3 linked regions of the Callithrix jacchus genome follow. The protein of the gene in region 3 interacts with the protein of the main gene of each other region in a biochemical or structural test. Links are inferred from orthologs where the notes say so. Each region holds a gene or a part of one and is shown on either strand. Other genes may lie near its edges.

Region 1 (5,778 bases), on a different chromosome or scaffold from region 3:
CCCCTCTGGCCTTCGGCCTCAGCTTTCCTAGCCTATCTACCTGTAGGCCAAGCCACTCTCTTCCCTTTCCCCTCCATCACTCCCCAAGAAAGAGCCAAGATTCCCTACCCATAATCCTTTCTGCTGACCCCTGGTTCCCTCTGCTCAGTCGAGCTTGTCATCAGCTCTCAGGGCCATAGCTCATGTTAGAATAAAAAGTAGTAAGTAGAAACACTCTGGCTCCTGGCTCGTCTGTTGGGATCCAGTTCATTTATCCTAAGGAGGTAACTAAAGATCCTAAACGTGTCATTTGGGTGGGACAATGCGGTCCAAAGAACTGACAGAGATGCCTGCAAGGCCTGCAGTCTTGGACATAGATATACTTGACTACATGTTGAACACACACGAGCACTCTTTACTTCCAAAAAGAAATAAGCTCTTGCCTAGTTTTTTAAGCACAAGCTCCTCTTGGTACAGCTTTCATTTTCCTACGTCCCCAATTTCATTTCTATACTAAGAACAGTGCGAATGTGAAGACAGATGGCAACCAAGACGGGGCCTCAGTGTCAGGGATGGACAGGAAGTGAGGGACTGTGGAGAACTGGGCACCCATGCCCTACCTAAGGGGCCAACTGCTACTCAGCTCTATCTGGTTGCTGCCAGGAGGGAGCACAGCCCCCCTGCTGCCAGATGTTGTCTTTTTAAGAGGAGCCAAACATCAAGAACTGCAGGGTCTCCAACACCTCCAGCCCTGCATTCCTTTTCTGCACTACCTCTGGCTGTTTCCAGAGGCAAAAGCTTTGGAGACGCCTCTAGCACCCCTGGTGTTTTATATGATTCTGGGCCTAGGGAAGTGGGCTTCTGCATTTCCAGGATGGAGCAGGAGACCTCCTTTGCTACCCCTCCCCTCCTTCATTCCACACACAAGACGTCATCCCATGTCATGTCTTTCATATTCATCTGCTTCTTGCCCCCCCACCACAGAACCATGGTGAGCTCGATGTGAGGGACAACTCACCACTCCTGATTCTCCTAGACCTGCTGTCTGCCACAGCTATTCTCCATCACGCACCTCAAGAGAGCCTGCCCCTAGCTCAAGGCTTCTCAGGCCCCCTTCCATTTCTTGTCTTTGGGTATTTGCGTGACTTACTCTGGCAACAGGAAATCAACCATGACTATCCTTTAGTTTAGATGTCACCTCATCCAGGAAGCCTTCCCTGCCAATTCGGCATTTCATTGCATCTCTTTCTCAAACTCACCGCCTGTCCCACTAACCGTGGTCACCTACAGCCTCAACACACATGCAAGAAGGAATCCCAAGTGTTGGCGAGATGGTCCCTTCCAAGAAACCTGTGCCCCAGATGCACTGGGAACCTGAACCTTTCCTCCAAGTCTTTTATTTTTTTGAGTTCTTTAAAAAAAAAAAAAAAAACCAATAAAAATACAACCAAAAGAACTGACGAGAGGAAGACAAAGCCTCAGGATCAGCCAGAGACCGAGCGGCACGGGATGAGGCACAGGTCGGGCCTAGCTGGATCTGTGGAGCAAGGTGGTGGGAAGTCCTGAGGCCTTTGGGCATGGGGGGTCTGCAGAAGGAGGGGTCACTTAAAAAAATACACATACTGTACACATCTATACGAAGCGTCCCTTGTTGGGGGAGTAGGGCGAGGTCATGGGAGCTGGCCCACTTTCTCCTCAGACCAGCCTCCCCGCAGGCTCACTGGCTTGGCCAGTACAGGGACCCCTGCAGCTGGCTATCTTCTGTGGAGCGAGGGGAAGGTAACAATCTATTTCCAACCCATGGTGAGCAGAGGTCCGCGGAGGTCAGAGGCAGGGGGATGGTCACCACTCGGATAGAAAAATCCCTGGGGGAAGGAAACACACCCAGACATCAGATTCTCTGACCTTTTTCCCCTGCAAGGAAAATGAAGCCTGGCATCTCCACTGCAGGGGAGAGGAATTAACCACAGCAGACATTTTTTTAGCAATTGGAACATTCTGGGAACTGGGCTGAGTCCTTCAGCGTTTAGTTTCACATAAGCCTCACCACCAGCCCAGGAGGCGGGCTCTGCCTTGCCCCCATTTACAGGAGGCTGGGTGACCGCAGAGCCATCACAGCCAGTGGAGCAGCTAACTGTCACCACCACTTGGCAGGGCCTGTCCTCCATAGAGAAGCATAGATCCACGGAGACAGCTCATCTTGAGCAAACCATCTTCCTTCCCAAAAGGAAATGCCCCCAAGTTACAGGATCATGAGGAAAAGAAACGCGACAGAAATGAAGGAAAGACCGAGCTGTATCCGATCTCACCTACAAACAGGTTCCATCTCCCAGGGCATAACCCCCTAAAGCATGTACAATCCCTGCACCCAGGGTACACTCAATGTCAGCCACTGCCATTACCATTCTGGATCCTTCTGACGCTGCAGTGCCAGCTCCTGATGTCATCCCACTGGCCCCATGGACCCTTGGCAATAGAACCTCTTTCCCCCGCCTCCTTTCTCCTTGGAGTCCACCGACCAGGGAAGAGGCTCTCTTCCCAGGTCTGCCTGGCTCTCTGGGACTACAGCGGATGCCAGAGCTGTTCTCCAGCCCCGAATGCTCAGGAATGATTGGGAAGCATACCTGTGACTTGTGCTGATGCCCATCATACAGTCTGCTCTGGTGTCTTCTTCTGTGAGGAGGGAAGTGCGAGAAGCTCAGACCTGCAGCTTTTCCCTACCCACTGCTGCCCCAACCTCCTGAGGACTAGTGAATTCCCCCAGAACAAATACTGGGTCTTCAGGGAACCCCCAAAGGCAGAGGCAAACAGATGTTCAGCTCTCCTAAATACAGCTGAGGCCCTGCTGGCCAAGGGGAGAACTTCATCTATATCTGAGGTGCTGAGGTACCAGGCAGTAAGGATAGCCCCTGTTCAGGGCCAGCCTGCCAGCTGAGGCACACACATTCCAGGCAATGCTTCCTCTCACCTGGAAACCTCCACAGTCTACCTGGTTTCCCTGTGCTATGAGGAGTCTCTCCTTCCTTCCCCAACACCCTTCACAGAAGTGGCAGGCCACTTCTATGGCTTCCACGTGCTCAGGGAACATGCCCTGCCAGCCTCTTCCCTGGGTGTGTCACAACTCATGAGGCCCCCACCAGGCCCTGGAAAGGGGAAGGGGGCAGGAACCAGGTCTGGGTATGAGCGAAGGGGCTTGGGTTTGGGTCCGTTTTCTGGCCTGAGACCCTTCAGGAACTCACTCTACCTTTTTTTTCTTTTTCTTCTGGGATAGTGACTCAGGATCTTTGGTTGAGGCCTTTTTTGCTTTCTTCTTCTTTCCCCTTTTTTCCTTGTCTTTTTTTCCTGAGGAAAGAAAGCAAACTTCCTGAACAACAGATGGTAATCCTAAGTGCTGGGGTCAATGTTGAGAGGCGCACAGGGGCAGGGCTCCCAGGATCGTGAAACTTGTCTCTGCTGATGCTGGGTTCCCAGCTCTCCCCACATCACCAGGAGCCATCACAACAGGCTGGCAGGGCCAGGCATGGTGGCTCATGCTTGCAATCCCAGCACTTTGGGAAGCTGAGGCAGGTGGATCACTCAAGCTGAGGAGCTCAAGACCAGCTTGGGCAACACAGTGACCTATCTCTACAAAAAATACAAAAATTAGTTGGGCATGGTGGTGCACGCTTGTGGTCCCAGCGATTTGTGGGGTTGAGGCAAGAGGACGCTTGAGCTTGGGAGGCTGAGGTTGCAGTGAGCTGCGTTCATGACACTGCACTCCAGCCTGGGTGACTGGGCAAGATTCTGACTCAAAAAAATAAAAACAAAACAGGCTGGTGGCCTTGGTGACCACCTAGCAGTGCCAGCTCACCTGCCCCTTGTGGGCCAGCTCATGATTTCTGTCTCATCTATGGACCACCTGAATGACTACCATTTTTCTTTAGGTCAACTCACTTTTTAAAACTGCAACTTTATTTTAAATGGACACTATCTATTCCCCCTGTAAATGGAAATCTAGCACAGTTCTGAGTGCCAAGGGGCTGCAGGTCCTGTATCCTGCTCTGAGGGTGCCTGACTCTTGCTCTAGAATGAGCTGGCTCTTTAGGCATTACTGGCATCTCATACACCCCTTTCCCACCATCCAGGGTGGCGCTTCAGAGTGCTGCCTAGGTTTGACTCTGGTTCCACCTAGTAAAACTCTGTGGCCCTGAACAGCACCTCTACTTCTCTGAGCCTCAGTTTTCTATCTGCTGAGCTTCATTTCTACCTAAATGAGGACCTGCTGCATGCAGAGTCTAGCACAGAGCTCAGTAGAAAGCCAGTGTTACTATGGAGGGAAAACTGAGGTCTAGAGAGAAGATGGGATTTGGCATGAAGATTCTGACAGTCTGGTGTCTGGTCTACTCTGCACTCGGAGTGGCTGGAGAAGCAGGTTCCTGCAAGATCTGCTGCACTGGGCTCAGGGAAAGAGGACATGAATCCTCATCCTTCTGGAGCATTCCTGGCAGTGCTGGCCCTAGTGCTCTGGAACCAAGTCCTGGCTTTGCCACTAACTGCGCCCCCATGACTCTGGACAAACCACTTCTCAGCCTTTTTTGACAGTCTCACTCTGTCTCCCAGGCTGGAGTGCAAGAGTGCGATCTTGGCTTATTGCAGCCTCCGCCTCCTGGGTTCAAGCGATTCTCCTGCCTTAGCCTCCCCAAGTAGCTGGAATTACAGGTGCCCACCACCACGCCCAGCTAATTTTTTGTATTTTTAGGCCAGGCTGGTTTCAGCCTCTCCTTTCTACATGGGAGAAATGAGACTAGGTGCTGGCTCAGGGTCCCTCCTGCCCCCATGAGGTGCCCAGCAGCTCTCGGTGTGGGGCCAGAGAAGTGGTCACTCACTCTTGTCCGATTTCTTCTTCTCCTTCTTGCTCTTTGGGTTGCTTTGATCTCCACCTTCAACCTTCCCCATCCCCTTCTGAAGCTCCTCTTCTGGTTTGTCCTTCACCCCTTGGGAGCCAAGAGGCCCCTTCCCCTTCTTCTCCTTGATGCCACCACTTGCTTTGTCTCTCTTTGCTTTTCCCTTGGAAGTCATGGAGGCCTTTTCCGGAGAGACAGAGGCCTCCCCACCTTCTCCGGCCCCCAGCTTTTTCTTCTTGTTCCTCGCAGCAGGCTGGTCTCCAGACAGCTTCCGCTTGCGGCTCTCCCAGCCCTTCCTGCTGCTCTCCTTGGTGACATCCGCCGCCTTCTTTTTTTCCTGCTCCAGCAGCTCAGTCAGGACCTTCATCACCGAGGCCTGCACCTGGGCCTCGCTCAGGGGCCAGGGTTGGCCCAGGAGGCGCTGGGCAATGTTGCTTTGCAGTGCCAGAGTTGAGGCCTGGGGGATCCCAGCCCCTTTCTTGGGCTTCTGGGACTTCTGAGGTCTGGTGTCTGAGACAGCCTCTTTTCCACCTATGGAGAGAGAATGTGGGGTCACGGATCTGGGATAGTTGGGGGATAAATCTTACAGTACCTAAGAGCGAAGAGGGTGCAGTGAGTGACTCCGCCTTTTCTTACAGAGATGGGGAGAGTAATGCTTGGCGGTCACTCTGCCCCAGCTGGTCTCCTAAGCTCACACCTTTCCACTATTTTCACATTCTGACTTCGTTTCTAACTTACAGCTTTTCCCTGTCTCTTTACACTAAAAACTGAAGTTAGGGTAGGGGACAGAAAATGACTCTACAGTGTTAATGAAAGGGCCTGAAATCTATCAATGAAATGAAGTCAGACAGGAGGGAGATGGAGTCTGGAGCTGGGAGGAAGGAGACCTGGGTACTATATCTGACTTTCCCACTAA
Region 2 (5,878 bases), on a different chromosome or scaffold from region 3:
AAACACAAAAATTGGCTGGGTGTGGTAGCAGGAGCCTGTAATCCCAGCTACTTAGGAGACTGAGACAGAAGAATCACCTGAATCTGGGAGGCTGAGGTTGTAGTGAGCCCAAATTGTGCCACTGCACTCCAGTCTGGGCAACAGAGCAAGACTGTCTCAAAAAAAAGAAAAGAAAAGAAAAAAAGGAAGAAAGAAACAAACCTCCAAGAGAAGGCTGGTAAGTACTGTACTGAATGTAAAAAATTGCATTCGGGGTCTTGGCACAGTGGCTAATGCCTGTAATCTCAGCAGATCACGAGGTCAGGAGTTCAAGACCAGCCTGGCCAACATGATGAAACCCCGTCTCTACTAAAAATACAAAAAATTAGCTGGGCGTGGTGGCATGCGCCTGTCATTCCAGCTACTAGGGAGGCTAAGGCAGGATAATCGCTGAACCCAGGAGGCAGAGGTTGCAGTGGGTGGAGATCGCACCACAGCACTCCAGCCTGGGTGACAGAGCAAGATTCCATCTCAGAAAAAAAAAAAACTGCATCCAGGCCAGGCGCAGTAGTTCACACCTATAATCCTAACACTTTGGCAGACGGATCACTTAAGGACAGGAGTGCCTGGGCGAGACAGGAAGACCCCCAACTCTCTCTCTCTCTTTTTTTTTTTTTCAGATGGAGTTTGACTCTTGTCACCCAGGATAGAGTGCAATGAGGCTCAATGCAACCTCCACCTCCCAGGTTCAAGTGATTCTCCTGCCACAGCCTCCCGTGTAGCTGGGATAACAGGTGCCTGCCACTACGCCTGGCTAATTTTTTGTATTTTCAATAGGGACAGCATTTCACCATGTTGGCCAGGCTGGTCTCAAACTCCTGACCTCAGGTGATCCACCCACCTCAGCCTCCCACAGTGCTGGGATTACAGGTGTGAGTTACTGCACCCAGCTGAGACCCCCCATCTCTTAAAAAATATATATATTTTAAAATTTTAATTAGTTGGGTGTGGTAGCACACACCTGTAGTCCCAGCTACTTGGGGGGCTTAGATGGGAGGACTGCTTGAGCTGAGGAGTTTGAGGCTGCACTGAGCTGTGATCACATCACTGCACTCCAGCCTGGGCAACAGAGAGAGACCCTGTCTCAAGAACAATGACAGCAAAAAAAAAAAAAGAATTTCATTCAATTATTAATTACACTGATACAGAACATTAACTGATGCAAAAAACTCCAAGACATTCCAGCTACTCAGGAGGCTGAGGCACAGAATCGCTTGAACCTGGGAGACGAAGGTTGCAGTGAGCCAAGATTGCGCCACTGCACTCCCATTTGGGCAACAGAGTGAGACTCTGTGGTACAAAAGAGTTCAGGATCAGTCAGTATACATGTGAACTTATCTTAGGACAAATTACCTAATCTCCCTGAGATTATTTTCTTCTCTATAAAATGGAGATAATACTACACATCTCATTTAAGTTATTGAGAGGATAAGAGAAGGCATGCTGGCCGGGTATGGTGGTTCATGCCTGTAATCCCAGCAGTTGGGAGGCTGAGGCAGGTGGATTTCTTGAAGTCAGGAGTTCAAGACCAGCCTGGCCAACATGGCAAAACCCCGTCTCTACTAAAAATACAAAAAAGATTAGCCACACATGGTGGCAAGCACCTGTAGTTCCAGCTACTTGGGAAGCTGAGGCAGGAGAATGTCTTGCACCCAGGAGGCAGAGGCTGCAGTGAGCAACCTGAGTGACAGAGCCAGACTCCGTCTCAAAAAGAAAAAATGCATGTAAAGGGCTAAGTATCTGAACCTTTGTAAACTCTTCACAAAAGATTAGTTTTTCTCACATAAAACCATTCAGAATCCTAATTCTTAAATGTCCAATTCCATCCAGTCCACTGTGAAAGCACTCTTTGCAGTCACTTAACAGTCAACTCTAAACAGTTCCAATACGAAAGCAGTTACATCACATGACAGCCTGTCCCAGCTTAAGAAAGTTCTTTCTGAGGCTGATCTGATTCTTTGCTTTTGCAGCCTGATCTGCTAAAAGTGCAAGCCATCCTTCTTAGTCCTGCTATCATCCTTGCAAAGGACCCCCTCTCTTTTCTCTCAAGGTGTCTTCCATGCAGGGATATCCGTTGATGGAGATTAAATATCTTTCACATTCCTGGTTGGCGCATCCTAAATTGCCGTAACTATGGTACAACTTTCACTTTTAGAAGATTCCTCGGCACAAGCACTGAGATTGCTACTCTTACACATAATCTTACTGAAACTCACCAAAATCTTATGAAGTGGATGATGACATCCCTGTAGAAAGACTCAGAAAGGTTAAGTAAGCTGCCCGGGTCACATATCTAAAAAGTAACAGAGCCTGGTCCCAAACTTAGGTTGGATTCTATTAGCCAAAGCTCCAAGCCCACTACCATGCCTGCTTGGTAGGGCTGTATATGACGCTCAATTCTCATCAGTGTAACTCAAAACAAAACTCTGCTCCTACTTTCATTCATTTTCTTCTTTACTAACGAAAATCCCAATCTTTATTCTAAAGCAATTTCACTTGCTTTTGAATCCCAGTAAATGCGATTGAGGGTAAGGTCAAATCGCGCTTTACCTCAGCCAACGAAAAGCCCCCCAGAAGAACCAGACGCCTAAGAACCAACGTCCTCAGTGGGACAAGGCGCTAGCTCCCAGCTGCACTATGCTAGCCATGTGACTTCGGGCCACGAGGCTCCCACGTTGCCGCTGTTGTATGGCTCACAAGAAACAAGCAACAAGACTCTGCGCTATCTAGTAAGACCTGGTGGAAGACGAGCGACCGAGGCCCCCAGGCTTTCTCTGGTCACTGCTGAGCGGTCGGCGCAAAGGCCTTGCAGACACTGGACTGGCGGACCCCACAGTCTTCCCCACCTGGAAACCCAAGCACGTCAGGGCCTAAAGCCTTGTGGTCATGACCCAGCCCGCTTCCCGTCCCAAGCCCGGGACTCACAGCTCCCGTCGCTTTGGCGAACTTATTGGCCACCTCCGAGAGTTGGTTATCGCGCAGGAAGCCGAGGACGAGGGGATACAGGTCGCTGGGAACCACGCGGCGCAAGCCGGCGTCCGCCATGCTCCGGGCAAAACGCGTCACTACCGTTGTCGACGCAGCACGACTCAGGAACCCAACAGGGGCAGTGGGAGGGCCTGATTACGTCATTGCGCCGCGCGGTCGCATAGCGGAAAGGGTGGGGCTCCACAGGGCAGTCCCACCTCCGCTTCAGAGGTAGGGTAGACGGGAAATCTAAAAGCTCTTTCCGGTCCCACGCGTATCGCCATCTTGGTCAAGGGCGGAGCCCACCAGCCGCCGGTTTGTAGAGGCGGGGCTCTGACGTCAGAGGTCACGCCCTCGGCGTGGCGGGAAAACTTGGGACTTCCCGCGCTGTCTTTCTGGGGGAGGTACCTTTTCTCAGAGCAGCGGTTTCCCGCGCCCCTGCCAGGATTCGGATTCCAGAGTAATGAGTGGACAAGCGGGCTCTAACAGTCCTTACCCTCTCCAGACTTGGTCACAAGATCTCCCAACCGCCCCAACTGGCGCATTAGCGCTGCCGATGGATTCTCGCCCTTCATCTTCACTGCCTCCAACACTCAGGGAGGCCCTTTCCTCTCTGATACCATCCCAGCCTCCAGACTCGTCTCTACGCAGAAGAGCATCCTTCAAGTTATCCGTCGTGGGGGTGGAAGGTACTGATTTCCCAAGCCGCCCCTCCCACTCCCTTTATATTCCGCCTGTCAGCTCCACGAAGGGGAAAGATGTCATACACCAAACCTGAATCACACACCTCTTCAAGCTGAAGAGACTTGAAAATAACCCTTCTTCCTCCGATATCAGAGTTCAAACTCTCCCTTTGTCATGAGTAACTCCAATATCAGTGCTCAGACCTACCAAGTGAATTCCAAGTTCTGCAATACTTCAGATCATATTAGCAGTTAGCAATCCTTTCAATCCTACCCACTACCCCTTGGCTACCTCCCACTAATGCAGTTCAGGAAGGATAAGGATCCACTTCCTCATGGAACACTCCCCTCTCCTATATAAAACTGGCCAGGCACAGTGGTTCACACGTTATTCCAACACTTTGGAAGGCCGAGGTGGGAGAATCCCTTAAGCCTAGGAGTTAGAGGCCAGCGTGGACAACGTAGTTAAGACACACACACACACACACACACACACCACCCTGTATCTCTACAAAAAAATTTTAAATTAGCCAGGTGTAGTGGCATGCACCTGTGGTCTCAGCAAGTTGGAAGGCTGGGGCAGGAGCATCTACTGAACCAGGGAGATGGAAGCTGCAATGAGTTATGATCCTGCCACTGCAATCCAGCCGGGACCGCAGAGTGAGATACTCTCAAAAATCAAAACGCTGGGCACAGTGGTTCACACCTGTAATCTCAGCACTTCGGGAGGCCAAGGTGGGTGGATCAACTATGGTCATGAGTTTGAGTACAGTCCTGGCCAAGAGTGAAACCTTGCACCTACTAAAAATACAAAAAAAAATTAGCCAGGTATGGTGGCAGGTGCCTGTAATCCCAGCTACTTGGGAAGCTGAGGCAGGAGAATTGCTTGAACCCAGAAGGCAGAGACTGCAGTGAGCCGATACACCACTGCACTCCAGCCTAGGAGACAGAACAAGACTCCATCTCAACAACAAAAATCCAAAAAGCAAACTCCACAATTCCCTTTTTCATGCTTCCGGTTCTACGCATATGCATGCATTATTTAAAACATTTGTTTTTGTTTTGAGATGAGAGTTTCGCTCCTATTACCCAGGCTGGAGTGCCATGGCACGATCTCGGCTCACCGCAACCTCCGCCTCCTGGGTTCAGGCAATTCTCCTGCCTCAGCCTCCTGAGTCCTGGTACTACAGGCACACACCACCATGCCCAGCTAATTTTTTGTATTTTTAGTAGAGACGGGGTTTCACCTTGTTGACCAGGATGGTCTCAATCTCTTGATCTCGTGATCCACCTGCCTCGGCCTCCCAAAGTGCTGGGATTATAGGCGTAAGCCACCACGCCCAGCCTATTTAAAACATTTGAGCAGCTACTGTGCCATGCAGTGTGCTCAAGCTATTAGAAAATGATGAATGTAACTGACATGATTAATGTACACACCAGTCCCAATTTAGAAAACCTTTCTTTGGAACAAGTGTGAGTTTCTCTAGGTCCTTGTTATGAAAATCCCTTCCTGGACCAGTATCATCATCCCATTGTCAGAATCTACATTCTAGAAAGATCTCTAGATGATTCAAATTCCCTTTAAAGTTTGAGAAGCATTGTCCTAGATGACTCATTTTAGACAATACATCAGAAGAACCAAGTTTCAAATCCAGTGGGATTTTTGCACCTAACCAGAGAGTCATGTCCCTGGACCATGTTCAGATAGGAAAAGTGAATATATTTCGCATTAGCACCATACCATATAAAGAAGCACAACAGCAGGTGGGAGTTTTCTCTAGTTGATGTTTATTAGTCTGCATAGTGGCAAGTTCCAAACACTTGGGAACCCCTCAACCCCCACCTATCTTACATAGGAATCCAAGTTAACTTGTTTCAATACCTGTTTATAAAAAACAAATACCCCTTTTAAAAAATCTGATTTAACACATTTTTTATTTCACTTTTTTCCATTTCTTTATAAAACAGTCATCTCACTAGCAGCTCTCTCCCCTAGAGTAGGGGAATGGGGTAGTGGAGGTTGGGCACCTCCAGAGGGAAAAAAAGGGTAAGGGTAGCGGGGGAGGGCCCAAGGTTACCTCCGGAGGTTCTTCTGGGCCTGTTTCAACAATGTGTCAAAGTCAAGAGAATCAAATTTGCTCTTTACAGGTGCAGGGTCAAAGTCTTCCCGGTTGGAGTCTATAAAGGTA
Region 3 (5,878 bases):
CTGTAGACTTGAATAGGCTCATCTTACACACAGGAGTGGTCTGACACTTGAGTTTTCCTCTGTTCTAATAAGTTCTTCATGTAAATGCAACATAAATGAAGCCAGGGCACTTCCCCACACAAAATCCATAGTAGCAAAAAATTTCTAATAATCATACAAATTTCAATTCTGATGAGTTACTGGTATCATGAAACAGCCATTCCAGATTTCCCATTATTCTAATTCTTCCACTAGTGATGCAAGACTTAGAAACTATTAAGTATGACTTTCTACATCCCACACATAAAGTAATGCTGGTACCAAGAAACGTCAGTACAAAAACCTCTAGCAAGAGACCAAATTCTAATCCTTAAGTTTTCTAGCCAAATATCTTTATTTTAATGCACTTGTATCATATCCTCAGAAAATTTCTCAAGTATATTTTACTCCTTTTTAAAATTAGCTTAATAAAGAGTTTAAGATTTTAAGGAATCAAGAAAATTAGGAATCTATCCTAGCATACTTCTTTTAAAGTAAGATTTTTTTCTAGGTCTTCAAAAAAAAAAAAATGAAACTGCAAAGTGAAAATGTCATACTTATTAAGTATGCTTACTAAGTATTATACTTAATAAGGATAACATTTAAATGATATAATCTGGGTTATTAAACTTCAGTAAGATATAGACATTTTCACTTTGCAGTTTTTCTTAACCATTCAAATGTAACATATAGTAAAAATGTTTTACAGGAAACTTTAAAAAGGACCCACTGTACCCACTCTTGTTTCTTAAGAGTCACATGTTGACTAAGAAGCCTGGCTCTGGAATCAAATGTAGCCTCGGCCATTTGCTTGTTGGATAGATGATTTAGGCGTGTTATTAAAACTTAATCTCACTGAGCCTCAGCTTCTTCCTAAGTCAAATGGAACAACAACTGTGCAGAAATAGGATTATAAAGATTATATAAGGCAATACATGTAAAGTAAGCTTGATAAGTAGTAATTGTAACGTATATTTAAACATACAAATGACCTAACCATATCTAATAGATAATCTGTGTAAGTGAATCTCACCAGAAGTTTCCATTACCAGGCCAAACTTCATACCTTCTGCATACGTGGGTTTTATTTTTTTTTTTTCCGTATTGCAATGATTAATACTTAGTAGTCCAATGACCTAGCCTAGGCAAGTCTAAATGGTTACATCACAAGCATCAAACTGAAATGACTATATTTAACCCAGTATTCTGAGAAAGAGGAACCAGAAACTACTGTTGGAACATTATACGGCTATGTTCCCTATATAGGTAAGCACTTTCAAAAGGAAAAATCACATTCAGAGTGCGGTTGAACACTTTACTATTATTTATGCACCACTTGTGAATACGGAAAAGCTTCAAGTGAGCAGGTAGCACAAAAGAAGTTAAACACACACAGTAAACTGCCTTTCCCACTAATTTTAAAGTAGGAAGTTATTTTTCAGCCCCCAGTTTTTAAATTTTATTTTTAAAAGTTTAAACAATAAAAGTAAAAATAAAAACAGTTTAGCATACGTCTAGAAATATTGAAAATTGTTAATTTGGGGACTTAGGCACGTAGAGACTATATTTTACTCATTTTTTATTCCACTGCTTTGACCCCCAAAGCATTAAAACAATCTATCAAATGGTAATTTGTTTTTAAAGGAACACACTACTATGTTTTAAACCCTTTTATAAAAGAGTCCCATGTACTAAAGAAACATGCGTTATGGATAACTTGTTGAAAATAATTCTAGATCAGCACTGTCCAGTATAACTGCCAGTGATGAAAATGTTGTATCTCTGTGCTGTTTAATATGGCGGCCACTAGCTGCGGGTGACCACCAAGCACCGAAAACATGTTTAGTGGCCCCACACGGTGGCTCACGCCTTAATCCCAGCGCATTGGGAGGTTGCGGCGGGCGAATCACGAGGTCAAGAGATGGAGATCATCCTGGCCAGCACAGTGAAACCCCGTCTCTATTAAAAATACAAAAAATTAGCTGGGCGTGGTGGTGCCTGCCTATAGCTCCAGCAACTCGGAGCCCTGAGAAAGAATTGCTTGAAACCGGAAAACGGAAGTAGTGAACCGGGATTGCGCCACTGCACTCCAGCCTGGCGATAGAGCGAGACTCTGTCGCAAAAAAAAAAAAAAAAAAAAAAAAAAGTGTTTAGTGTACTTGGGGACCCGAGGAACTACATGTTTCATTTTATTTAACTTATAATTTAAGTTTAAACAGCCACGCATGGCTACTGGCTGCCATACTGACCAGCACAAGTCTAGATTACCTCAAACACACACACCGACCCAGTAACTTAAAATTCAACGCTAGAAGAATCCCTCAAGTCAAAATAAGGTCTTAAAAAGAGAGGACCCGTTTTCTAGTCTCAAGAAACAAAGCCATTGGTTTCATTTCATTATTGCATCTCAGTATAAACATCAAGTGGACAATACTGAGGGGGGAAGGGAGCTTGGTGCAGATACCGACACAAGTTCCTACCATCATCATACCTGAAGTAAGGGCTGATTGCAGCAAGAACGTTTCTATGACAGGAAAATGTTTTCCCGTGATCCACTTCCACTACAATGTCTGTCAACTGTCCTTCATCGTACATTGTTTTGAGTTGCTTAAGAATACTGCAAGCATGGAAGGGGTCCATGGCATCGCTGGCTGGGTCTGTAGATGGAATCCCATTCGGTGTTGGGGAAGATTTACTTAAATCTAGGAGGAGAAAAATCGTACAACCACAAGAAGTGCCGAGCCAGTTACGGCGTCGCGGGATTTTTTTTTGTTTGTGTGTTTGCTTGCTTGGCTTTTTCCCCGCTACAAAGATATATATATACATATATGTCTGTGGATATACGCACGACCTCGTGGGACCGCGAGTTTAGGATCTAGGAGACAGAGGGCGGAGCGCCATCGGCGGAACAAGTTCAAAGGCCAGCCTGCTCCTGCGGAGCCCGGCGAGCCCGGCGCCCGTGCTCGCGGAGGGAACGCGCTCGCAGCCCATGTGAGGCGTCTGCGAGAACTCCGCCGAGAGCCGAGGGCAGAGCCTCACGAAGGAAGCTCAACCGACGGCGACCGCCGGTGCCCCCTCAAGCCGCCTCCCGCTGCCTCCCGGGTCGCAGCGACGGCGGGTACCCAGCCTCCCCATCCCTGTCCCGCCGGACCGCCCACCGCCCTCCGCACCATTCATCCTCCCCTCATTCCCCTCTACCTCCTCATCCTTCCCTCCGGCTCCACACCGCTACCTCTTCATCCCACCGCCTATGGCCGGCCCCGGCCAACCTTCCCCCTCAACTCCCTCCACGCCGCCCTGGCCACCACACAACCCACCTGCCGACGCGGCCATTTCTCGATGGGGCCCCGGCTCCAGCTATTTAAAGAGGAAATGTCATTTCGCTTCTCCAGCTCCCGGGTTCCGGCTCTTCTAAGCTTCCCCTAGCCAATGGGGTGTACTGTGCATTTGGCTCCGCCCCTAGCCTACGAATTTCTGGCACTGATTGGTCTCGACGCGAGCATATGCGTGACGGGTAATGTAGTTTGATTGCCCCCGCTCCCGCGTGGTCAGACTTGGGCGGAGGCCCAACCCGGGAATTCCTATTGGCAGATACGGGCGGAGGTGGAGAGCAGGGAGCTAGCCAGCCTGTGGCCGTCGAGCGCGCAGTGCCTGCCGGGAGAGGTAGTCTTCTGGCGGAGGAGAACTGTCATTCTGAGGGGCTGGGGTAGGGAAAGCTCTTCAAGTGCGAATGTCCCCATTTTAGGCCTCTCTCCTGGCCCCCGGCTCATTTTTTTACCTTTTTCTTCTTCCGTAAACTTCCTGCCACTGACTGGCTTCCGGTATGCAATCAAGCTCTGCGTGAGAGCTGTAAAACCTGAAAAATTTGGAAATGTACAGGAGGGCTGTTGTCCAAAAATGCAAAGGAAATATGACGCCCCACCCTGAAGAAAAATATCGGAAGGCCCAAAAGCAAGGCGTCTCTGATGAGTCACCTGTGACACCCAATTGAAATAGCATCGCCTTGGCCCGGTACTCTGGTTTCCACAGATTAACTTGGTCTGGTTAGAGCGGTTGTTTAGGATATTTAACTCCCACTCGTGCCTTGCTTTTCTAGCGCACCCAGAGAACACCTGTTCCGCACGTGAACATTATAGAGGGATCCCAGATGCTTTCCTTTTTGCTCTTGGAAAATGGAGGGATGCAATACTAAGTATTCTGGGAATTCCTTTGAAAAAAATACCGGAGAGCCCTGAGCCCGGGGCCAGGGATGATTACTGAAGCCCTGGCTCTTTAGTCACTATATGTGAGAACTGACATAAGACCTTTCAATCCTTAACCACTTAGATCCTTCACCTGTAACGTGAAGTGATAGTAATACGTATTCTATGGACTTCATAGGCTGCAACCCTTTGGAAAGAAAATCAAAATTTTGATTTACTCATCTTGTGTTTCTAACATCTGATGGGGTGCCTGGCACATTATAGATGCTTAATATTTTAAAGATTAAGGTGCAAATGAGCTAACATTGGTAATGTTACTTCTAGACTGTTAAAATGTAAGGAAGTATCAGTGAATGGCAAGAATGTCTAGTAGGCATATAGTTAGCCCGTGTGCATAAATCTTCTAGCACTGAAAAGATTAAACAGTTGAACTTCTTGATAAAGGATCTTGGAATTTAAATTGTTATTGAGAAAGAGAAAGAATTTTGAAAAACAATTCAGTTCTGTCCCCTAGGTCTGCTGAGAAATTTAGAACTCAAAATACTATAACCCCATGCAAATTAACAAGAAGTGGTATTTCCTCATGACAGGGGTTTATGCATTCCCATATGCGCTTATAATTTCCTCTTTGTGAATGTCCTGTCTGCACATTTCTGGATGGATGAAATTGACTTAATTTTTGTTACTCATAACTTTACTTTTTCATTTTTATGTGCTTAATGATATTGCTTTCTAAGTTATTAAATGGTGGCATTTTTATTACAATATGGATAGTATTGGGGGGAAAATTGCATTAATCCTTAGGGTTTGACAACCTCTGACAATGTTGCAGATAAAAATACAGGGCATGCATTATTTGAGACATACTTAAACTAAAATAACACTTGTTGTTTATCTGAAATTCCAGTTTAATTGGGTGTTCTCTATTTTACGTGGCAACCTTTTCAGATTTCTTAAAATAGGAGTTTCGTTTGCACTTTGTTGTTGTTTTGTAGCCATCTATTTACTTAAGCCTTTAGATATTTGGTCAATTTTTTTAAAAATTTAATTACCAACTTAGTAGCAAACAGACCTGACAATATTGTTTGATTAGTTAAAAGACAGTGTTCAGGTTATTTGACCCACAAAGATTTATAAATTGGAGATGGAGCAGAATACAAATAACAAAAGCCAATCTAAATACAAATAGGAAAATAATTATAGGTACAAAGTTGCCATTTATATGACACTGTAAATAGACCCCATTCTACTGGGCAGATGGCGTTACCCCATAATAAAGATTTAATCTTCACTAAAATGCATTTTTTAGAAGCACAATAAATAGGAGGATCTTGAAACTGAGACAGTAATACCAAACTATTCTTTCTCAATGATCTGTAAGAATACTGGGGAGATTCCTTTTCAGGACGGATACTGACTAGCCAAAGGTTACACATTTATTTTAAAATGGCTCTAATTTGAATTTTAGTAAGAACCTCCTGAATCACTGCACATCTGGAAAGAGCAGCAAAAGTAAACCAGTTTTCCTCTTAAGGTATTGAGTACTATATTTCAATTTTCTCACATATTCACAGTTTAAAGTAAAATCAATTAAGAACAGAAATTGAAAAACTGAACTAGAATATTTGAAGGTCCTACATTTAGTTCTACTTAGACAC

Evidence for each region.
Region 1: the proteins of KBTBD8 (region 3) and TCOF1 form a complex in vitro, tested with the Homo sapiens proteins (2 studies listed by BioGRID, with this or other methods). The link is inferred for Callithrix jacchus from reciprocal best matches to the Homo sapiens genes KBTBD8 and TCOF1.
Region 2: the proteins of KBTBD8 (region 3) and NOLC1 form a complex in vitro, tested with the Homo sapiens proteins (2 studies listed by BioGRID). The link is inferred for Callithrix jacchus from reciprocal best matches to the Homo sapiens genes KBTBD8 and NOLC1.

The regions. Positions count from the first base shown.
Region 1 is NC_133503.1:49,111,043-49,116,820, reverse strand, and holds part of TCOF1 (treacle protein), read right to left. Parts: intron 5,394-5,778; coding exon 4,845-5,393; intron 3,322-4,844; coding exon 3,225-3,321; coding exon of another isoform or gene 3,224-3,224; intron 2,655-3,223; coding exon 2,604-2,654; intron 1,845-2,603; coding exon 1,697-1,844; 3' UTR 1-1,696.
Region 2 is NC_133513.1:95,103,327-95,109,204, reverse strand, and holds the start of NOLC1 (nucleolar and coiled-body phosphoprotein 1), read right to left. Parts: upstream 3,107-5,878; 5' UTR 3,085-3,106; coding exon 2,965-3,084; intron 1-2,964. Other genes in the region: PPRC1 (peroxisome proliferator-activated receptor gamma coactivator-related protein 1), read right to left, coding at 5,764-5,867. UniProt on the Homo sapiens protein: Nucleolar protein that acts as a regulator of RNA polymerase I by connecting RNA polymerase I with enzymes responsible for ribosomal processing and modification.
Region 3 is NC_133516.1:48,791,322-48,797,199, reverse strand, and holds the start of KBTBD8 (kelch repeat and BTB domain-containing protein 8), read right to left. Parts: upstream 3,432-5,878; 5' UTR 3,352-3,431; coding exon 3,336-3,351; intron 3,137-3,335; exon of another isoform or gene 3,023-3,136; intron 2,721-3,022; coding exon 2,510-2,720; intron 2,058-2,509; exon of another isoform or gene 1,052-2,057; intron 1-1,051. UniProt on the Homo sapiens protein: Substrate-specific adapter of a BCR (BTB-CUL3-RBX1) E3 ubiquitin ligase complex that acts as a regulator of neural crest specification.